Linked DNA regions of Oryctolagus cuniculus. The protein of the gene in region 1 interacts with the protein of each later gene in a pairwise test. Links are inferred from orthologs where the notes say so. Each region holds a gene or a part of one and is shown on either strand. Other genes may lie near its edges.

Region 1 (4,988 bases):
GAATCAGACACTCCAACATGGGAAGCAGGCACCGAAGCTCAGGCTTAACCCCTGGCACCACACCTGCTGCCCAGGTGTTGCCTTTTAAAAGAACAGAAACGCAACCCAGGTGCATTAGCAGGGAACTGGATTGGAAGTGGAGCAGGCAGGACTCAAACTGGCACTCATACAGGATGCCAGCATCGCACTTTAATTCACTACAGCACAATACCAGCCCCCAAAGTCTATAACTTCTTACGTTGGCTAGCCTTCTATTGCATGAGTGTACCTTAACGTATTTAGCCAGTCTTTGATTGTTGAACATTCACTTTTTTTTTCATTTTTTGCTGTTATAAACAATCCTGTAAAGTGTCCCTTGTGTGTGCGCGCGCACATGTTTGTATTTGTATGTGTATCTTTTCGTCCTTGCCCCATTATTTCTTAAATGGCTGGAAGAGGAATTAACGGTCAGAGAGCATTCATACACTTTTAAAGCTTTCTGTACCTATTGCCAAATTGCTCTCCAAAAGGTTTGTACCAATTAACTTTCCTTCCTGCTGTGTACAAGGCCCTGGTCCTTATTACAGCCCTAGTGTTATTATTACTTTCAACCTTTGTTACTTCTTTTCAATACAGATTCATTTTCTGTATTCTTAATATTCAAAGCAGACAATCTGCTATTTAATATTTGGATCTCTTAAAATACTAAAATAACTCATGTGTAGCTATTGGCAGTTTTCTTTCCTTTGGGTCAGGGCCCCTGATACAAAGAAGGTTGTTCACCCATGTTCTCCATCTTTCCTCCAGCCTCTGTCGCTCTCCACCTCGCACTCCAGGAGTACAGTTCTGACACGTTCAATCTGTCCCTAATCATAGGCAACAACGGCACAGTCTGAATTCAGCTGTAACTCTTCCTCATCTGCCAAGATTCCCATCCTCCTCCTCCTCCTCCTCCACATCCTCATCCTCACCACCACCACCAACATCCACATCTACAAATAATTTATAGTTTCCGAACAGATTTCATATACAGCAACTCCTTCTCATAAGCATCCCATGAGCTGTTCAAGGTGGCCATGAGTCTGGGCTTTGGAATCACATAGGCCTGGGTTCAAATCCTGAGCCATACCTTAACTACTCTGAGCTCATTCAAATTACTTATGAAGTGGGGATGATAATTCAGAAGCTCAGGGCTGGCGCTGTGGCATAGTGGGTAAAGCCACCACCTACAATGCCGGCATCCCATATGGGCACCGGTTTGAGTTCCAGTTGCTCCAGAGTGGACAGTGAGAGAGAGACAGAGAGAAAGGTCTTCCTTTGCCTTTGGTTCACCCTCCAATGGCCACTGCGGCCGGAGCGCTGCGGCTGGCAAACCGCACTGATCTGAAGGCAGGAGCCAGGTGCTTCTCCTGGTCTCCCATGGGGTGCAGGGCCCAAGCACCTGGGCCATCCTCCACTGCCTTCCCGTGCCACAGCAGAGAGCTGGCCTGGAAGAGGGGCAACCGGGACAGAATCCGGCACCCTGACTGGGACTAGAACCTGGTGTGCAGGCGCCGCAAAGCGGAGGATTAGCCTATTGAGCCACAGTGCCGGCCGCAGTTGCTCTATTTCTGATCCAGCTCCCTGCTAATGGCCTGGGAAAGCAGTAGAAGATGGCCCAAGTGCTTGGGCCCCTGTCCATGTGGGAGACCAGGAAGAAGCTCCTGGCTTTGACCTGGCCGAGCCTTGGCCTTTGCAGCCATCTGAGGAGATGCCAGCAGATGGAAGATCTCTCTCCCCCTCTCTCTGTAACTTTGTCTTTCAAATAAATAAATAAATCTTAAGAAAAAATACTTCAGAGGCTTGTTGTATAGTCCAAATCATGTATGCAGAGATCCTAGCACCATTCTGCTATGGACAGGCCAAATAACTAAGGCCTGGAGAACTCAAGGAATTGGTTCAAGTCCTATGCGAGACCAGATATTTTTACCCTTAATTTTATTGTCTATCTTTCTTGTTATGAACTATTTCAGGAGAAGATGCTCTGTGCCCATCATCTAGCTTTATAAAGAATTACAGAAACAAATGGAAGTCTCCTACATGTCCTTCCCTGATCCCACTGTCCCCTCTCCCACCCTTCTCCTCCTCCTTCTCTCCCCACTCCCCAGGTAAGCACTATTCTGAATGTGGTGTTTATAATTCCCATGAGGTTTCTAAAAATCTCCATATTTGTGTATGTGTGATGAAGTCTGGTATTGTTCTACATGCTTTGAAACAGTAACCTACTGGGCAGATCGTTGTGCAGCTGGCTTTTCATACACAGTAGGATTTTTGTATTTTATTTGAAATACAGAGTTACAGAGAAGCAGAGGCAGAGAGAAAGGGGGGGGTCTTCTATCCGCTAGTTCACTTCCCAGATATCTGCAATGGCTGGAGCTGTGCTGATCCAAAGCCAGGAGCCAGGAGCTTCTTCCGGGTATCCCACGTGGGTGCAGGGGTTCTAGGACTTGGGCCATTTTCCACTGCTTTCCCAGGCCACAGCAGAGAGCTCGGAAGTGGAGCAGCCAGGTCTCGAACCAGTGCCCATATGGGATGCCGGCACTGCAGGGGGCAGCTTTACCCGCTACACCACAGTGCTGGTCCCCACAATAAGTTTTTAGATTTTAACCATGTTAATATATGTCAAAATGTTTGTGAAAAGTGTGCATTACCTTTGATTCCATTTTCCACAAATCCTTCAAAGTACCCTCATATGTCGTCGAATGTATGAGTAATCCTTTTGTTCTTTCAACAGTATGATCACCATTAAGACCTTTCCCACTCAGGCCTGACAGGTCAATTCCCTCCTCCTTTGCCTGCAGTGTTTGTCATGTTGACATGTGCCTTTCACTATGGCCGTGAGGACTTGGATGCAATTGGTCTGACATTCCACAAAGATCTGTATGTCCAGGTCCAGCAAGTGGCTCCGGCTGAACCCACCAGCCCCCAGGGACCCCTCACAGTCCTGCAGGAGCGACTACTGCACAAGCTGGGGGATAATGCCTACCCCTTTACTCTGCAGGTATGGACCCCAAGTCCTGGGCATGGTTTCCAGGGAAGAGGAAGAAGGAGAGCAGAGGACAGGAGTCTCTTTTTCTTCTGTGCACTGACCTCCTTTTGGTCCCCTAGATGGTTGCCAACCTGCCTTGTTCAGTGACCCTGCAGCCAGGTCCTGAAGATGCAGGAAAGGTGAGGTTTGTGTCCCGAGAAAGAGGGATAGACAGGTAATGCCAGGGAAGAGGAGTAAGGAGGGAATGGATAAGACTGAAGGAACAGCCAGCTAAGGGGAGAGGCCAGGCATTCCTCTTGGAGGCCCAGGAGGAAATGAGGGACAGTGTTGGAAATGAGCTCTCTTTGCCTCCTACCCCTTTGCAGGCCTGTGGTGTCGACTTTGAAGTGAAGAGTTTCTGTGCTGAAAACCTGGAGGAGAAGATCCCCAAGGGGTAGTCTTCAGCCCTTCCCCAGATGCCTGCTCTAGCTTCTGCCAGGAAACAGATCCCGGTCTCACACACAGACAGCCCGACTTCTAACCTCCATAGCACCATTGCCACCAGCTCAGATGCCTACTTTGGAGTCCCCTCTGACTTCTTTTCTTTGCCCCAGGGCAGGGGTTGGCAAACCTTTCCATAAAGGGCCAAAATCTAAATATTTTGCTTTTTGCGGGCAATTCTGTCTCAGTTGAACTCTGCCACTGCCATTGGGAAAGCACGCTCAGATAGTACAGAAATGGGTGTGCCTGTATTGATGGACACAGACATTTGAATTTTATATCACATGCATGTGTCATGAAATATTTCTGCTCCTCGATTTATTTCAACTATTTACAAACGTGATCATTATTAGCTTACAGGCCATACCTAAAAAGGCAGTAGGCCAGATTTGGCCAGTGAGCCATACATAGTTTGCTGCCCCTTGGTAAAGGTACCAGAAGATTTCTGGGAGGGAGGCCTTCCCCCAACCCCCACTCCCAAGCAAGGCCTGGGCTATGGGGTTGGCATTGGAGAGGTCTGTGGGTCCCATAGGAGATGTTCTGGCTGATTCCTTGGCTTCTGCTCAGACACTCGGTGCGACTGGTTGTCCGGAAAGTACAGTTTGCACCCCTGGAGCCAGGCCCTGGCCCCAGGGCCCAGACCACCCGCCGTTTCCTTCTGTCAGCTCAGCCTCTACAACTCCAGGCCTGGATGGACAAGGAGGTTTGTGACCCTCCACTTCCTGCCCCCTACCCTACAATCCCTCTGATGCCCTGTCTTCACCCACCTCCTTCTTTGGTAGGCAGAGATGAGAGCCAGGGCAGCAATAGTGCCAAGGACACAGGAATTCTCAGGTTTTGATCTGAGTGTTTTTCCTCCAACCTCATGATGGGGCCTCTCCTCCTACTTCAGGTTCACTACCATGGCGAACCCATCCCTGTCAATGTCTCTATCAACAATTGCACCAACAAGGTCATCAAGAAAATCAGGATTTCAGGTGAGCTGCTTTTCCTGTCCTGCACCTGGCCCTAGAACCACAGGTCTCTGAATCTCTGCCCCACTTAGCCATCTGCATTCCTCTTAGCCTTCCCTCCAAAACAGGTTTCCCAAAGCAGATAATCTTTGTCAAAGTGCACATCTTACTGCAGGATGTAGTGTGCCCTTGTATAAGGTCTCATCTGAGGATAGTGCAGTGGGATCTCGAGGATCGCTGATTCTAGCCGTGTGCTTTTCCTGGCTTGTTTAGTTGACCAGATCACGGACGTTGTCCTGTATTCACTAGACAAGTACACCAAGACTGTGTTCCTTCAAGAGTTCACGTGAGCTGCCACTGGGGCTGGGGTCAGAGAAGCGAGGGGTGGCATGGTGGGAGGCAGAGGAGGGGGTTGAGGAAGGAAGAAAGGGTAGGGGGAGCCCAGGAATGGGCTAGAACAGAGAAAGGGAGGGATTCCCAGGAGAACTGGGTGGTGATGGGGTGTGGCTTACCCATAGGAGAATGGTCACAGGGCTGAAAGGAAGGCA
Region 2 (5,426 bases), on another chromosome or scaffold:
CTGATGCCAGAGACCTGTTGTCAGCAGGAGGGTGAGCACATGGCTTCATTACTTGGACATGGACAGGCACGGTTGACGCTGTCCTTGTGCTGAAAATAGAAAGTTAAGCATGATTACATAATCTCTGGGTTCCTCCAGCTCTGAGATTCCATAGACAATCAAAGGGTTAGGGAGAGGAGGCTCGTTTGTTCTAGATTCCATAGCTGGCTCTTTATAGGCAGAGGAACAGTGCGGGTGGAGGCGGCATCCACATCATGGTCTCAGTGGCACTTTCCTAAATCCACCTTAGTCAGGGTCTTGTCCTTGGGAGAGAAATTTGGAAAACTTACTGCTCCGGGCAGTAAGGGTAGACATGCACTAAGCAAACCAAATGACTAATTTGTTTATTTCATTTGAAAGGCAGAGAGACAAGAGACAGAGAGACATACAGGCTAACAGAGAGAGCCCCATCCACTGGTTCACTCCCCACATCCCCACAACAGCCAGGGCTGGAGCAGGCCGAATCCAGGAGCCTGGAACTCAGTTCCCATCTCCCACATGGTCACCTGCTGCCTCCTTGGGTCAGCACTGTTAAGAAGCTGGAACAGGAAGTGGAGCCAGGACTTGAATCTCGGCACTTCGATATGGGATGTGGGTGTCCCTGAGTGGAGTCTTAACAGCCAGGCCAGATGCCCACTCTCAAATGCCCAACTTACAAAGAGACAGTGTGAGGGTCTCCCGGGCCCCTCGAAGACCCCAGCAACGGGGTCATGGAACATGTCCTGGCCAGCGACAGTCAGCCCAGGTCTGTGTCCCCAGGTTAGGATCCACATTTGCAGCGGTTGTCAGCTTCCAGCTGGCCTGCGTGGCCCTGGCTCCCTCGCAGTGTATTTTAGTAAATCTAACTCTGCTCACTCTCCGCTCTGGTGAATTCTCGCTGCCTGCCACACAGGCCTCAAATGGTCACTTCCCACGACAGATGGGAACAATAAAATAGCAAGGGCACCGAGCATGCTCACTCCTGCCCCTGTATGTGTGACCCTGTGGGCGCCTGGAGGGAAGCAGATGGTCTTTAGTGCCCAGTGGACCAGATGTTAGAAGCGGGTGGGCGGGGGGTAGGAACCACACTCAGCCTTAGCAGGCTCAGGGGGAATCCTGAAGTGTCTGTCGCCTACACAACAGCGACACACCTGCTCCAGGTGGGCAGGGATGCTTCTTCCTCCAGTCAGGGCTCTGTCCCTGACTGTGGGAAACGGAGCGGCACCATCCCCAGGACGCCTCGTGCCCGGGCTTTCCTGGCTGCCGGGCCTTCCTCCTGTACGCCCATCGCCTCGCCGCGCGGTCCAGTCCTGCCGCTCCCCGCCCCCGCCCCTCACCCCGCTCAGCTCGGTGTGGGTTTTGAAGTGCTCTTCCCTTTTTCCCAACCGGAGCAGGCGTGGAGAGGGCCCTGTGCCTCCCGGGGCCGTCCTGCAGGTGCGGGCCGAGTGGGCAGCAGGTTCCTTCCCACGTGGGCTTGTCCAAAGGGCTGGGTGCTGAACTGCCGGGCAGCGCCTTGCCCGAAGTCCCGGCAGCAGCGGGCTCGCGGCCACGAGTCCAGGAGGGGCGTGTCCCCGCGCTCACCTGCCATTGGCCAGGTGAGGCTGCCGGGTCGACCGCCGCGGCCGAGCTATAAGTGCCGAAGCCGAGGTTGCGGGGCCCAGGCGCGGTCAGGATGGTGGACAGCGTGTACCGGACCCGCTCTCTGGGGGTGGCGGCCGAAGGCCTCCCGGACCAGTACGCGGACGGGGAGGCGGCGCGCGTGTGGCAGCTCTACATCGGGGACACCCGCAGCCGTACCTCCGAGTACAAGACGTGGCTGCTCGGGCTGCTGCGGCAGCACGGCTGCCGGCGGGTGCTCGACGTGGCCTGCGGCACCGGGTGAGCCCGAGCGGGGTAGGGGGGCGACCAGGGGTCGGCTTGGCCCGGCCGCCAAACCACATGGCAGGCAGGAGCCAGGGCCCAGGAGCGCCGCCGCCGCCTCCGGGGGAAGAAGGGGTGCGGCGAGTGTCCGGGCGAGGGCGGAGGGAGAGCGGGGGTGAGGGTGCGCGGGCCTGGGCCTGGGCCGCAATGAGAGCGATCAGGGCGCAGAGCAGGAGCCGGACTTTGGGGCCAGCCCTGATCCTGGCTCCCACCTGGCCCCTCCAGCCCTGACCTTGGGCAGCGTTAACAATTGCTCAGCGTGCGTACATGCCAAGCGCTGCACCAGGAACTTGTGTTCCTGCTGTTTTTCAAACCCTCACAAAACCCCATGGGGGTGAGTAGTGCTAATCCGCACTCACTCCTGGGGAAGTGAGGGCTCAAAGTCAGTCAAGGCCCCACCTGGTGCGGAGGAGACACCACCCCAGGTTGGTTAGGGTCGCGCCACTGCGCTGTCCTGCTTCTGGGGCTATAACTTAACTCCAGGAACTGCAAGTTGTCCCTTTCTCAAAGGCAGCTCACACACCTGCCCCAGAGTCCCTGGGAGGATTAATGCAGTTTGCACATTGCCTGGCTCTGCAAAGGTGCTCGTTAAGAGGCGCCCCCTGGTGATCAGCTGCAGATTTGCCAGGTCATCTGAGGGCAGTGAGAAGGCAGAGGAAGCCTGGGCCTCTGGAGTTGGGACAGAGGGGCTCCACTTGCCAGGGGCCTCCTTGTCTTCCCAGGCCCCTGACTGCCCCTCTCCGACCCTGTGCAGGGTGGACTCCATCATGCTGGTGGAGGAGGGCTTCAGTGTGACGAGTGTGGATGCCAGTGACAAGATGCTGAAGTATGCGCTTAAAGAGCGCTGGAACCGGCGGCACGAGCCTGCCTTCGACAAATGGGGTATGCAGTTCCGGCTGGGCGCAGCCCAGAGACGCCGTCCTCTCTGCCCTGGGTGCCAGGGCTGGGCAGGGGGACAGCTGGTTCTCCTCAAGGGGACAGCAAAACGGTCATCTCTCTGAGGAGGAAGGCTTGGGTACCAGAATGGGGCAGTGAGTGTGAGAGCTTTAACTGGCCCTCCCCCCAAATGAACACACACACACAGCCCCCACCTCTCTTGACCCCTCCATGTCCATCAAGACCCCCTCCTAACTGGATAGGATTGCGCACGCATGCAGGTGGGTGTGCATCTTAAAGAACAAACAGGCAGGACTGCACTTGGTGGAGGGGTGCTAGTCATGCCACGAGGTTACCCTGCTTCCTCTTCTCCCGCCTGGCCCCATAGTCATAGAAGAAGCCAACTGGATGACTCTGGATAAAGACGTACCCCAGCCAGCAGGGGGTGGCTTTGATGCGGTCATCTGCCTTGGAAACAGTTTTGCCCACCTGCCAGACTGCAAAGGTGAGAGGTGTGGTCTCGGGCAGGCAGAGCCTTGCCTTGAACCCCACCCCTTTCCACAGACCCCTGGGAGCCTGCCCTCCTGCCAAAGCACACTCTGCTCTCTGCCCTCCTGTGCCGCAGTGCTGGAGCCCCTGGGGAGGAGACGGATGGGGGGAGGCTGGCGCTAGGGGCCCTGAGCTGACCGAGCCTCTGCCTGGAGCTCAGGGGACCAGAGCGAGCACCGGCAGGCGCTGAAGAACATTGCAAGCATGGTGCGCACCGGGGGCCTGCTGGTCATCGACCACCGCAACTACGACCACATCCTCAGCACGGGCTGTGCGCCCCCCGGGAAGAACATCTACTACAAGGTGAGCCCCCCAGGAGGGAGGGGCCGCAGTGCACGGTGTGAGCCTGGGCTCCAGGGCCCCACGGTGGGTGACAGAGGCTCACACAGCCTGTACCACTGCCCAGAGTGACCTGACCAAGGACGTCACGACGTCAGTGCTGACAGTGAACAACAAAGCCCACATGGTGACCCTGGACTACACGGTGCAGGTGCCGGCGGCTGGCCAGGACGGCCCTCCGAGCTTGAGGTAACACTGGGCTTGGCGGAGGTGAGGTGGCCATGAGGGGAGCCGGGGCCAGCAGGCCTCACGGCTGGCTGGGGCTCTGTTGCAGTAAGTTCCGGCTCTCCTACTACCCACACTGTCTGGCACCCTTCACGGAGTTGCTGCGAGCAGCCTTCGAGGGCAAGTGCCAGCACAGCGTCCTGGGCGACTTCAAGCCTTACCAGCCGGGCCAGGCCTACGTTCCCTGCTACTTCATCCACGTGCTCAAGAGGACAGCCTGAGTGCGGCCGCAGCTCCCACAGCCTCCTGCCCGACCTGGGGAGGGGGGCCCGGCAGCCCCACGCCCAGCCCCTCTGTCCCTGCAGGTGCTGGGGGTGTGGGTTCAGGCCAAAGGTAGAGTAAGCAATACAGCCTGTGCCTTGTCGGATCCTGCAGGCTTTGTGTTTCTATGTTGCTCTTCTCCACACCAAACAGTCCTGCCACAACACCAGCAGGGGGCGGCATACACTTTATTTTCAGCCACTGTGAGGGCCCAATCCCCAGCTCTCCTGAGCAGCTGGCCTGGGGCAGGAGATGCCTGGTGAGCTCTTCCTGGGGCTGCCAACACCGCTCCCTACCCAGGGCATCTCCCCGAGGGAGGTGGTCTTCAGGTGCATCGTGGGCAGCAGCCTGAGCAAGGGCCCTTTCCTCTCAGGTCTCTCTGTGGGGCCACCTGGGTACCTTTAGCCATTCTGGACAGAGTCCCGGTCTGCAGGGGGCTCCTAGCAGGCAGCAAACTTGCGCTGGATGCGTTTGTACCGCAGCAGCTCCTGCTCGCTGACCGAGGGCTGCAGCTGGGCGGCGGCCTGCAGCAGGTCCTCCATGGTGAGCAGCAGTGCCGAGCTGGCCGGCTCCAGCCCTGGGGGGAAAGGGGGGTGGCAGGGGGAGACCAGCGGCCCCATCTCCGCTGAAGGCAGAGGCTGTGACCCAGGGGAGGGCCCTTCCTGCTCAGAGTGCCCGGATGGCCCTCTTCTGAAATGCAGCCCCAGGCCTGGCTCGCACTAGTGTTTTTGGTTGATTTCTGGGGCTGGCAATGGGCTCACCTTCCTCCAGGTCACGAACCCTGCGTTTGAGGGCAGCTGTCATGGCGTCCGAGCAGAGAGAGTACAGGTCTGCGCCTGTTAGCTGGGGCGGGCAGCAGTCCAGCACCTTCACCAGGCTCACCGAGGGCTCAAGCTTGAATCTTGTGGGGGTGGGGAACAGTTACAGCAGTCCTCACATCCTCCCTCTGAAGCCATCACTGCCCAACACACCCCGTGGCCACCCCAAGGCCCAGGCCCTCGGGGAGTGTCTCTGGAACAGGGCATACTTGCGTGTGATGGCGCTCAGAACACGCAGCTGGGAGGCCCGGTCCTCACTTGCACCCACAAACACCAGCTTGTCAAATCTTAGGGAGATGGGGGTGTCTGTGAGAGGAAGCCCAGCCAGGAAGGGGGGGAGGAGACGCAGAGCAGGGGTGAGGGATGAGCCCAGATGGGCCTGGTGGGGGGTGAGCAGGCTGGGGTGCCCACCTGCCAGGT
Region 3 (5,467 bases), on another chromosome or scaffold:
GATCACTCCCTAAAGGGTCACAACAGCCAAGACTCTGCTAGACTGAAGCCAGGAACCAGGAGCTTCCTCTTAGTCTCCCACGTGGGTGGGAGTCCAGGGACTTGGGCCATCTTCCGCTGTTTTCCCAGGCACATCAGCAGGGAGCTGGATTGGAAGTGGAGCAGCCAGGACTCATGGGGCGCCAGCATTGCAGATGGCTGCTTAACCCTTTACCCCACAACGCTGCCCAGACTCTACTCTTGTTTCCTGGCCCTTGCCCCTTCCCACCAGCAGCCAGTTGTGTTCAGGATGCCCAGCATGGCCTGGAAGGCCACCAGGACCACAGGTGCCTAGCAGGTCCTCAGTGCAGGTTTGCTGAACGACTGAACCATCCCACAGACCACAAAATGCAGTTGGCAGCATCATCCCTGTTTCTTGAGGAGGAAACCGAGGCACAGAGGAGTTACAAGGGCCTGTGGTCATCTGGCTAGGAAATGACGAGGCCCCAGGAGTTAGCCCAGGTGCTGACTCAGAACCCAGACTCTGACCTCTGAGCTGAGCTAAATGCAGAAGGAACACAGAGGAGGGGCTTGGCAGGGAGCTGTCTCTCAGAGGAAAGATCCTAACTGCTGGTGGGACCAAGCTGATGGCGGCAACCTCAGAACCCTACATTTTACCTACTTTAGAACTACAGGGTGCGGAGCAGCGAGCACCAATTCCAGTCCCCTAGAGCTGGTCCCAGACTACTCATGGACGAGCACACCAGCTGTGACCAGCACCTGAGTCCAGGTGTGGCTCCTGGCAGGTGCTCTTACAGGGCCCTTCCACATCCAGCATAGCCCCTGCCACTTGGTGGAGAGCCAGGCCAACTGGGGTCTGGCTGGCAGCCCAGGAGGAATCGCTGTCCACACAGGAGCCCCACTCCTTCCCTAAGGAGCCAGAGGATCCCAGCATCTAACTAGTGCTGGCGCCCATTGCAGTCAATGCAGGAGGGGAGGAAGGGGCTCAGGCCCAAGGCACCAGGACAGCCATGGCCACTGGGCCTCTGGTATCCAGACAACCCTCCACCTACTAGACCAGGCCACCTTTAGGGAGGAGGGCTTCCCACTGCTTGCCCTTGAGGGTCTGAAGGAGTCTGCCTTCCCTCTCCTCTCCTTGCCCTGGAGGGGGACAGAGGATGGAGCAGGGCGTGGAGCGCTGGCCACCCAGACTCAGGGCCTGACAAACCGGCTGGCCCGGGGAAGCCCCATCTGAAACGTGGGTGACAGCACCGGGGCAGAGACCCTAACTCCTTCACCACCTCCTGGGGTCCAAGTCTTGTCTCCCCTCCGCCCCTCGGCTGAGCCAACGGCCGCGCCTTCGGGACTCGCGGAGATCAGGCGGCGGTGGAGCAGGGAGGGGGTGGGAGAGGCCTTCCTGCGCCCCCAGACCGCCCTCTCCGGGAGTGGGCGAGGGGCACCGGGAGGGGAAGCGCCCCTGGCCCGCCTTCCCGGGACGTGGGCGAGGGGCACCAAGGAGGGGAACGGCCTGGGCCGGCGCGACCCCCGCCTGGGCCCTCGGCACGCCGGGGCCGGGGCCCGGGCGGGGCGGGGCGGGCCCGGCGGTGTCGGGTGTCGGGTGTCGCCCCGCGCACACCTCGGCCGGGGGCGGGAGCGAACCACTGAGATGCGGAGACCTCCGCCGTCCTAGAGCGGAGCAGGAAGTGTCCCGGGGGAGGGCGCGCGGGGTCCGGCCTTTCCGCGCCTCGGCGTCCGCGGGCTCGGCGGCGCCCAGCGGCCGGGGGCGCGCGGCGGGCAGCGGCGGGGCGGGCGCGAGGCGCGGCCGCGCGGGCGGCGCCGGCCCGCAGCGAATCGGGCCCTGCGGGGAGGCCTCACCGGAGAGGATCAGCGGCGGCCGCGGCCGGGGGCTGGATCCGGCGCCGTGCGAGGGGCCCGGGTGGACGCCGGGGCCGAGCCAAGGCCGCGAGGTGCGCGGGGTGGGAGGAGAGTGCGCTCCTCGGAGGATCCCGGCGGCCGCGGCCCCCGGGGCCGCCCCTCGCGTCTGCCGGGCCGAGCTCGCGCCAGGGGCCGGGGGACAAAGGGGCGAGGGGCCTGGGTACTGGGGCTGCAGGTGTGGCTGGGAGTCCCGGGCCGGTGCGGAGCGCGGGCAGGTGGCGCCGACGGGTCACAGCCGCTGGCCCAGTGCCCGCTCCGTGCGCCGGCTGCACTGCAGAGACCTGGGTGCCCATCGGAGGTTTTGCAGCTGCTCTGGCCTCATGGGTCCTCCTGCAGAGCAGGAGCCAGGCCCGCACGGCCTCCTCACCGGGACGCCTAAGCGGCGCTCACGCCCAGGTGTCAGTGCAGAGGGGGTATGAGAAGCAGATGCCGGGCAGGGCACCGTGCCGCCACCTGCCCGCCCACTTTTCCGGTGCTCAAGATGTGCCTCGGGGACCCGCGCTCAGCTGCAGTGGCCTCAGGTCCCCCCGACGGCAGCGGCTTCTGCGGGGCTGTGCCTCCTGCATTACAGCCTGGGATTCAGGAGCTCTGAGCCCGCCGTGGGAGTGCGGCGTCCCGGCCTGCGCGGGAAGGACTGTGGGTGGAGCCCAGAGCAGGGACCAGGTCTCTGGGTGGGGACAGGGCGACTTCAGATGGGGTAGATGTCCGAGTGAGTTGGCCGACAGACTCGTGGGAAGACCTGGTGCTAGGTGCCTCCCTGTTTTTCTGTGGCAACCTGCAGGTGCGGCCTCTGGTGACCTCCGGGTCCGGCCCAGGCTCTTCCCAGCCGCGCTGCAGCCCAGGGTGGGGTGCTCCGAGTGTGTAGGCCCGCAGGGCGAGGGCAGCCACTGGAGCTCCGAAGCTTCAAGGTAGAGGGCTGGGCACCCGTGGGTCCTGTCCAGATCGACCTGCTCTCCCGAGGGCCACTGGAGGCTCTTCTCCCGCTCCCCCACCCCTTCCACCCCCACGGCATTAGGGACCCAGGCGGTGGCACTGTCCTGTGTCCAGAAGGGTTGTTACGCACTCCAGGGCTTTCCCGACCCCCTGCCCCAGGCGTGACCCCGGGACCCAGCGTCGAAGCCGCGATTTCTGTTTGGAACCAGGTTTGTCTTCCGCCGCTGACCCCGTCACTGCAGCTGGTCATGCCCACGGCGCTGTGCCCCCGAGTCTTGGCTCCGAAGGAGAGCGAAGAGCCCCGGAAGATGAAGAGCCCCCCAGGGGAAGACCCCGGCCCTCGCGCCGAGCCGCCCAGCCCGGAGTCCTCCCGCCGCCTCTTCCGCCGCTTCCGCTACCAAGAGGCGGCGGGGCCGCGTGAGGCGCTGCGCCGCCTGTGCGAGCTGTGCCGGGGCTGGCTGCGGCTGGAGCGGCGCAGCAAAGAGCAGATCCTGGAGCTGCTGGTGCTCGAGCAGTTCCTGGCCATCCTGCCCCGAGAGGTGCAGAGCTGGGTGCGGGCGCAGGAGCCAGAGAGCGGCGAACAGGCAGTGGCCGCGGTGGAGGCGCTGGAGCGCGAGCCGGGCCGGCCCTGGCAGTGGGTGAGCTGGCGATCAGCCCCGGTCCGCGTGTGGGAGGGGCCACTGCACCTGCCCGGAAGGAGCCTGGGGTGGGCAACTGTGGAGTTGTGGTGAGCCCCAGCCCCGGTGTGCTCTGCCTCAGTCTGAAAAGCCCCCTCTGGGGTTGCAGCTCAAGCACTGTGAGGACCCCGTGGTGATTGAGGATGGGGAGCAGGAGCAGGAGCAGCTGCAGGCGGAACCGCACAGGGACCTTGCTGGGGGCCCAGACACCGAGCCCGTGGCCCTGGCTCAGAGCCCGGGGCTCCCAAGCAGACCTCCAGGCCAGCTCAGTGGGGATGCAGGTACGCAGCCCCTGGCGGCCCTGTGTGGTGGGTGTGGGCTTTGTTAGGGTGGTGGCTCTTGACTCCCCTGGCCCCTGAGGAGCTGTGAGCCATTCCCAGAGTGTGGGTCCGTCCCTAGGACGATGGACTCAGAGCCTTATGGGGACTTCTGCCCTCCCAGAGGGAGCGCTTGCAGAGGTGGGTGTCTTGGAGGTGCATCTCTGCACCGTGTCCACAGCTGTGGCCTGAGCTTCCGGGAACCTGTGGCCCCAGCTGAGCGGTGGCCTGCAGGGTCCTTGTGGTGTTCCAGGGAGGCACAGGGAGGTGGCAGGCCCAGGTGTGGTTCCAGTGCCATTGGATGGGAGGAATCCTGGTTGTGCAGTAGTCTGGGAGGCCAGGGGTCTGCTGTCATCCTTGGCATTGTAATCAGCTTTTCACTAGAAACAAAACACCTGTTAAATCCACATGCAATACTGTACAGGATTCTGCATGGTTAAGGTGAGGTGGGTGTGTGAATTCCAGGGCTGCTCACTGGGCCCAGGCACAGGGGCTCTGTCACCGACTTAGGAGGGTGGGCACCTGGGTGTGTTCCAGTCTGGGTAGGTCTGGGCTCACCCTCTGGAGCTTTACCTCCTGAAACAGCCCTTCAAGTGCAGTCACAGCCTGTGCTGCTGTAGGGTTGGAACCTCAGCATGAACTTGGGAGCACATCCTGCCAGAGTCAGTGTCTGTGTATACGGCCTGGGCCAGGCAGGGAGAGGCCCTGAGTGTGGGGGCATCGTCCTGGACCAGGCAGGGAGAGGCCCTGGAGGTGTGTGGGGGACACCCTCCCAGGCTGGGTAGGGAGAGGCCCTGAGGGTGTGGGGGGAAGGGAGAGGCGCTGGGGGAGAGTGGGTAGGGTATCGTCCTGACCCACGCAGAGAGAAGCTGTACATGGGGGAGTGTATCATCTTAAGACCCTCCCTGCAGACGAGCTGTCTGCTGGTGCCATCCCCTGGTCTCCTTTGCCAGACAGCCCTGGAGTGGGACGGGGACTGGCTCACTGGGACACCCTCATCTGGTCTCTTTCAGTTCTGCAGGACATGCCAGTTTTTCAGGAAGAGAGTATGTGGGGTGCCCCCCAGGTGACCGCCCTTCAGCTGCCTCCGGTGAGTGATCTCTGCAAGTCTTGAAACCTTGCTTCTTGTACCTCACAAGGTATTCAGCCCAGCCCAGAAGAGGTGAGACAGGTGGGTCTCAAGCCCTCCTCCCACTCTGCAGGCAGTGATGGCTGATCCAGGCGACTTCAGTCCTGTGTCCTTAGGGCATGGCCTTGGTGTGCCCAATACCATGTCCTATGGGGCTTGCTTGGGCTCTGCAGAGATGAGGTGGTGCTGGCCAGGCAGGTACACTGGGTCCTTCTTGCCCCGTCACTGTCTCAGCTGTGACGTCCCATCACAGAGCCTCTCCTCCAAGCGCTTGGTTGGCTGGTGTGGCGTCATCTGCTTCCACGGGAGCATGGGCTCCGTGGACGTGGGCACTTGCTTCATTGCACGCTCCCTGGCCAGTAGGAAACTGAAGAATAGTGGATGCGCTACAGGCTGAGGATCCCTTGTCTGAGGTGCTTGGAACCAACAGGGTTTCAGGTTTTGTGATATTTGCACCCACAATGGTACTTCAAAAAGCTCATGAAAATGGAATTAAAA
Region 4 (5,665 bases), on another chromosome or scaffold:
GCATCTCCGCTGGCTCCCACAGCCCTGACACACCCCTCCCGGCCCCCCGCCGCCCTCACCCCAGTGCCCCTTGCCCAGGGGGACCTCTCCCAGCCCCCTCGAAAGAAGGACCGAAAGAACAGAAAGTTGGGGCCCGGTGGGGGGGCTGGCTTTGGGGTTCTCCGGAGGCCTCGACCGGCTCCTGGGGATGGGGAAAAGAGGTCTCGGATCAAGAAGAGCAAGAAGCGGAAGTTGAAAAAGGCAGAGCGGGGGGATAGACTCCCACCTCCTGGGCCTCCCAGGGCACCCCCCAGTGACACAGACTCTGAAGAGGAGGAGGAGGAAGAGGAAGAAGAGGAGGAGGAAGAGATGTCAGTAGTGGTAGGGGATGAAGCCCCAGCCCCTGTGCTCCCCACACCCTCTGAGGCCCCCAGGCCCCCTACCACAGTGCACCCCGAAGGCGCCCCTCCCACCGACAGTGAAAGCAAGGAGGTGGGCAGCACTGAAACAAGCCAGGATGGAGATGCCAGCTCCAGCGAAGGCGAGATGCGGGTCATGGACGAGGACATCATGGTGGAATCAGGTGAGGTGGGGGCTGCCTGGGCAGCGGGGACGGTGGGGTGCGGGGTGTTTGGATCCAAGAGCACAGGCAGGACATCCAGCAAACCTTCTTTCCCCAGGTGATGACTCATGGGACCTGATCACGTGTTACTGCCGGAAGCCCTTCGCAGGGCGGCCCATGATCGAGTGCAGCCTATGTGGGACGTGGATCCACCTCTCCTGTGCTAAGATTAAGAAGACCAATGTCCCTGACTTCTTTTATTGCCAGAAATGCAAGGAACTGCGGCCTGAGGCGCGGCGGTTAGGGGGGCTTCCCAAATCTGGAGAGCCCTGACACTGCCAACTCCAGGCTGGAACTGGCAAGTGACGATTCGGGAACTGAGCCTCGGGGGCTTCAGCCCATCCCCTGGAGTCTGGATGTGGTCCCCGCTTCAAGGCAGGAACGCCCAAGGCAGACTTCGGAAATGAGTCTCACGGTCCCTCCCTCCCCTCCCTCCCCAGCCTGTGGACTGGAGTGGACGTTGCGTTGGGCGTGGGAGGCTGTCGGGGGCCCCGGATGCAGCATCTTGGACCTGCCAGGGTTGGAATTGGGATGGACTGGGACAGCTGTCTATAAACTCTAGTGTAAATATAGCATTCCCCTCCCTCATCTTTTATTTTACTCCCAATTTATTTTCTTCTACACCGGTTGTATTTTTAATGTTGGACTTCCTCTTTCGAGCGTGGCGGCTCAGAGGTGGAGTGAGCCTGGCCAAGCGAGCAAGGAGAGCGGCAAGGTGACGGTCCTCACGCACCTCTTGTTTTTACTACTGGCCAGCCGTTTGTACAGACAGCCTGCGTGTTGTAAATAAAGCAGAGTGGGCTCTTTGTGTTTCTAGCCCTCCCTGACTGTCCTGCTTGGGGGGAGGCTCTGGGGGAGCTGGCCGCAGGGCACAAACCCACCTCGGCGTCCGGGCCTTCCCGCGCCGGGACACAACCCCAGGGGCTCCGTCGGCTTCTTCCCTCCACGCGCGCCCGCGGTCCCGCTGCTCCTGCACGGACGGTCGTGCGCAGTCGCTTCGCGTTCCCGCCCGGACGGCGCAGGGCGCCCCCCACCCCGAAGACGGAGGTCCCCAGGACACGGTGCCAGCCGGGAGGACCTCCGGTGGGGGATACGCTCGGGGGCGGAGTGGGTCGGGGCTGGGAGACCGTTGCTGAAGGCAGCGGTCACGTGGAGGGAGCGCTGGGAGGAGCCGAGTAGTCACGTGATGGCGGAGGGGTCACGTGGCGAAGGGCGGTGCAGGGAGCGCGAGGTGGGCGGGCTCGGGCCACGTGACATGAGGCGAGGTGGGCGGGGCCCTGGAGGGCGCTCGCGACGTCGGCGGCGGTGGCGCGCGGCGGCTGAGTGCGCCGCTCCGGGGCGCGTCGCGCGGCCCGCCACCCTGCCGCACCCCGCCGCCTCCCCGCTGCCCCACGCCCACACTGGCTCTGTCGCGTCCGCGCTCCGGTCGGGGTTCGAGTGTGCGCAGGCGCGGCGGGCCGCAGATAGCCCCACTGGGTGGGCGGCGGAGCCCGGGAGCGCGCGGGCGAGACCATGGCGGGCAGCAGCACGGGGGGCGGAGGCGTCGGGGAGACGAAGGTGATTTACCACCTGGATGAGGAGGAGACTCCCTACCTGGTGAAGATCCCAGTCCCCGCCGAGCGCATCACCCTTGGAGACTTCAAGAGCGTTCTGCAGCGGCCCGCGGGTGCTAAGTACTTTTTCAAGTCCATGGATCAGGATTTCGGGTGAGCGCGAGGCCTAGCCTGGGACTGACGGGGGCTGTACCCGCACGGATGGGGCGTTCTGCAGGGGGCACGGGTCTGCTCTGGGTTACACGGGTTTTCTGGCCTTCAGTGGATCGGATTGTGCCACACTGAGGCAGAGTGGCCGTCCCAGGACGGACAAGGTTATGCCTGGACAGATGGATGCACACGGAGCGATAAAGTGGAGAAGATTGGGCCATATGGAATAGGTGGGGGCGCGCAGGTTGGTTTTGGGGTGGTCGGGACTGAGCGTTTTCCTGTAGCACACAGCTTGTGTGGAGACAGCCTGCAGTCTCTTGACATAGCCGGGCTTGTGTTGGCGGCAGTTGGAACGTTGTGGCAGAGACAGGATTGTTTGGGGACTCCATGGAGTGTATGCATGCTAATGCAAAAAAAAAAAAAAAAAAAAAGTTGCGGTGTTCTAGGCTGCCTTGGAGTGGGCTACTGGACGGGCTGGGGTCATTCTGGTCTCTTGGTTGATCCTAACCTAATAACTCTTCTTCGGCACGCATCGGGGCACTTAGTACAGGGCAGATAAGGCTGTTGGGGCTTTTGCTAATACAGACAGCTGTATTGGGATAGTCTAGTCTATATTGGTGCAGACAGCTGCATGCAGGGACGTTGTAGGCTGTGCTAGAATAGATTGGGCTATCCTGGGGTAATTTGGGGATTCCTGGACTTGACTGGGACTGTAAATAACATATTCGAAGCCCTTTTGTTTTTCTCACTTTGGGGAATGACCACTCTTGTTTTGACTGCTCAGTTGTTTCACTGGCTGGCTAGATTGTGTTGATGGCTTGGATTTTAGGGGGACGGAACAAACTGGACTCTGCCTAAAAAGGTCGTTCAGCGTGGGGAGAGTGACAGTTGTCTTGGGAGTTATCTTGGGCTTAAATCAAAGCTCTTGGATTGGTCAGCAGTGTAATCTTGGGCAATTTCATTTACCTTTGTGCGTTGATTTTTCTCACATTTGAGATAATCACAGAGTGAAATGCTTAGTTCCCGCGCTTGGCACATGGGAAACTCTTGGGGCGTGGTCATCGTTGTCCTTGGCATTGAGGCCCACAGGTCCACAAACTCGGTTGTGGTGATACAGAATAGCCTGCCGTGGAGTGGGTTGAGCTGTGCCAAGATGGGTTATATTGGGAGAACACTAATTACACTGAAACAGATTGGTAGTGGCTGGGCCCTGTTGTCACATAACTAGCAAATGGATTCAGTTGGTGTATATACACACTCCCAGAGGCATATTAGGCTAAAGGGTTAATCAGACAAGATGTTCTGATTTGGGGAGGGGAGAGGGTGTGTTTGTGAGACAGAGGAGAAACCAGAGAATCTATTGGTTTGTGTGTTTTGTTTGTTTAGTCAACAAGTGTTAATGCTGCGTGGTCAGGGCGTGGTGTACAACAGAATGGGTGCTGCTGATTGCAAGGGGTGGTTGAGAAGAAAGGGGGGCAAGTCCAGTCCACTACAGGGAACACAGGGGAGCTGGTGGGGCTTTGGGGTCTTGAGACCCAGCATGTTGTTGAGAGCAGAGTTCTTCCAGGGGAGGCACAGGGGAACGGGAAGCCTGGCTTCCTCTCTTCTTCCCAGCTCTCAGCCTAAGGAGATGCTGTTGGTTCCTCTAATGGGCTTTTGTCCCCTGACAAAGACAGCACATCTGGACCACTCTCTGGAAGTGGATTAGAAAAAACTAAAGGGAAGTGGGAGAGTAGAAGCTTGTATGAGGTTGGGGAAGGTGTGTACGGAACAGGGCTGGGTTTGGGGACGGCTACCAGCAAGGCTCACTGGCAACCAGGTAACCACAGGGGTTGGCCTTCCAGTCATGCTGCAGGAAGTCTTTGGAGCAGCATTGCCCCTGAGGGCCAGCTGGGGCGAGCAGGCGAAACGTGGTGGGAGTGGGGTTTGGAGGTTGTTTCCCTAGGAGAGAGGGGGAACGAGGCAGGGGGTGGCCGGCATCCTTGAGCTGGGTGAAGACGGAGAAGCTGGCGGCGGGGGTGGCTGACCCAGCCTCGCTGACCTCGTCCTGTCTCCCGGCAGGGTGGTGAAGGAAGAAATTTCAGATGACAATGCCCGCCTGCCCTGCTTCAACGGAAGGGTGGTATCCTGGGTAAGGGCCCATTCCCTCTGGGTTCCCAGGCTGCTCCCAGCCTCATCTGTCTGTAGCCTCTCCCTGCCCAGTCATTGCCCTGGCCCTTTGCCTCCCTCCCTGTTTGGAGAGCCAGTGGGAGCTCCTCGGCTTTCTTCTGGAGCCTCTGCCATGAGGGGGCTTCAAAAACGTTCATGGGAAATGCATAGTATGAGAAAAGGATGCGTGGGCTTCAAAACAGGGTGCGTGGGCATGCGTCAAAATAAAGTTATTATTACTTTTTTTTTTTTTTTTTTTTGACAGAGTGGGCAGTGAGAGAGAGAGACAGAGAGAAAGGTCTTCCTTTGCCGTTGGTTCACCCTCCAATGGCCGCCACGGCCGGCACGCTGCAGCCAGTGCACCACGCCTATCCGCAGGCAAGAGCCAGGTGCTTCTCCTGGTCTCATGCAGGTGCAGGGCCCAAGCACTTGGGCCATCCTCCACTGCACTCCCGGGCCACAGCAGAGAGCTGGCCTGGAAGAGGGGCAACCGGGACAGAATCCGGCGCCCTGACCGGGACTAGAACCCGGTGTGCCAGCGCCGCAAGGCAGAGGATTAGCCTAGTGAGCCACGGCGCCGGCCTATTGTTACTTTTAAAAATGTATTTGAGAGACAGCCGTCTCCCATCTGCTTATGCATTCCTCAAATTCTGGCAATGGCCTGGGCTGGGCCAGGCTGAACTGGGCACTCAATCTGGGTCTCCCGTGTGGGTGGCAGGGACGCAAGCGCTTGAGCCATCCCTGCTGCCTCCCTGGGTGCGCATTAGCAGGAAGCTGGAATCGAGCCAGAGCCTGGTTTTGAACCACGGCCGTCTGATAGGGGACACAGGCAGCGTAACTGCTAGGTCAAACGCGCACCATCACTTGTCTTTTAAGTCCGGTTTCCATGCACTTTTTGAAGTCCCCTTGTATTTGGCTCTTCTCCATACTCCACAAAACCCCATCCGCTTTCTGATCCTCTCCCGTCTCCCATCCTCCACCCATCTCCCAGTTGAGCTGCCTTCTGTCATTTACGTTTGTCTAGCTAGTGTCGTCAGATAACCCCCAGCCTGAGACGGCCCCCCCGGCCCACGAGCCGCGGACAGAACTGGCGCCTCCACCCCCACCTTTACCTCCTCTGCCCCCAGAGAGGACCAGTGGCATTGGGGACTCAAGGCCTCCATCCTTCCAGTGAGTTCTCGGGATTCTTGAGCACAGGGGAGGGAGGTGTAGC

What was found. The genes of interacting proteins can lie anywhere in the genome.
Region 2: the proteins of ARR3 (region 1) and GNMT interact in a two-hybrid assay, tested with the Homo sapiens proteins (2 studies listed by BioGRID and IntAct). The two-hybrid records come from large-scale screens. The link is inferred for Oryctolagus cuniculus from reciprocal best matches to the Homo sapiens genes ARR3 and GNMT.
Region 3: the proteins of ARR3 (region 1) and ZNF496 interact in binary tests that used the Homo sapiens proteins (3 or more experiments, as listed by UniProt). The two-hybrid records come from large-scale screens. The link is inferred for Oryctolagus cuniculus from reciprocal best matches to the Homo sapiens genes ARR3 and ZNF496.
Region 4: the proteins of ARR3 (region 1) and DVL2 interact in a two-hybrid assay, tested with the Homo sapiens proteins (2 studies listed by BioGRID and IntAct). The two-hybrid records come from large-scale screens. The link is inferred for Oryctolagus cuniculus from reciprocal best matches to the Homo sapiens genes ARR3 and DVL2.

Annotation. Positions count from the first base shown.
Region 1 is NC_091453.1:50,170,652-50,175,639, forward strand, and holds part of ARR3 (arrestin-C), read left to right. Parts: intron 1-2,819; coding exon 2,820-3,019; intron 3,020-3,126; coding exon 3,127-3,186; intron 3,187-3,372; coding exon 3,373-3,440; intron 3,441-4,054; coding exon 4,055-4,190; intron 4,191-4,379; coding exon 4,380-4,464; intron 4,465-4,713; coding exon 4,714-4,786; intron 4,787-4,988. UniProt on the Homo sapiens protein: May play a role in an as yet undefined retina-specific signal transduction. Could bind to photoactivated-phosphorylated red/green opsins.
Region 2 is NC_091436.1:127,046,014-127,051,439, reverse strand, and holds GNMT (glycine N-methyltransferase), read left to right. Parts: upstream 1-1,653; 5' UTR 1,654-1,690; coding exon 1,691-1,896; intron 1,897-2,692; coding exon 2,693-2,820; intron 2,821-3,202; coding exon 3,203-3,319; intron 3,320-3,523; coding exon 3,524-3,666; intron 3,667-3,769; coding exon 3,770-3,891; intron 3,892-3,976; coding exon 3,977-4,148; 3' UTR 4,149-4,294; downstream 4,295-5,426. Other genes in the region: PEX6 (peroxisome biogenesis factor 6), read right to left, coding at 4,629-4,765, 4,950-5,089, 5,216-5,293, 5,418-5,426. UniProt on the Homo sapiens protein: Catalyzes the methylation of glycine by using S-adenosylmethionine (AdoMet) to form N-methylglycine (sarcosine) with the concomitant production of S-adenosylhomocysteine (AdoHcy), a reaction regulated by the binding of 5-methyltetrahydrofolate.
Region 3 is NC_091437.1:1,715,916-1,721,382, reverse strand, and holds the start of ZNF496 (zinc finger protein 496), read left to right. Parts: upstream 1-1,694; 5' UTR 1,695-1,945; intron 1,946-2,694; 5' UTR 2,695-2,821; intron 2,822-3,055; 5' UTR 3,056-3,094; coding exon 3,095-3,484; intron 3,485-3,632; coding exon 3,633-3,804; intron 3,805-4,853; coding exon 4,854-4,930; intron 4,931-5,467. UniProt on the Homo sapiens protein: DNA-binding transcription factor that can both act as an activator and a repressor.
Region 4 is NC_091448.1:51,838,527-51,844,191, reverse strand, and holds the start of DVL2 (segment polarity protein dishevelled homolog DVL-2), read left to right. Parts: upstream 1-1,892; 5' UTR 1,893-2,113; coding exon 2,114-2,307; intron 2,308-4,365; coding exon 4,366-4,435; intron 4,436-5,476; coding exon 5,477-5,622; intron 5,623-5,665. Other genes in the region: PHF23 (PHD finger protein 23), read left to right, coding at 1-562, 660-874.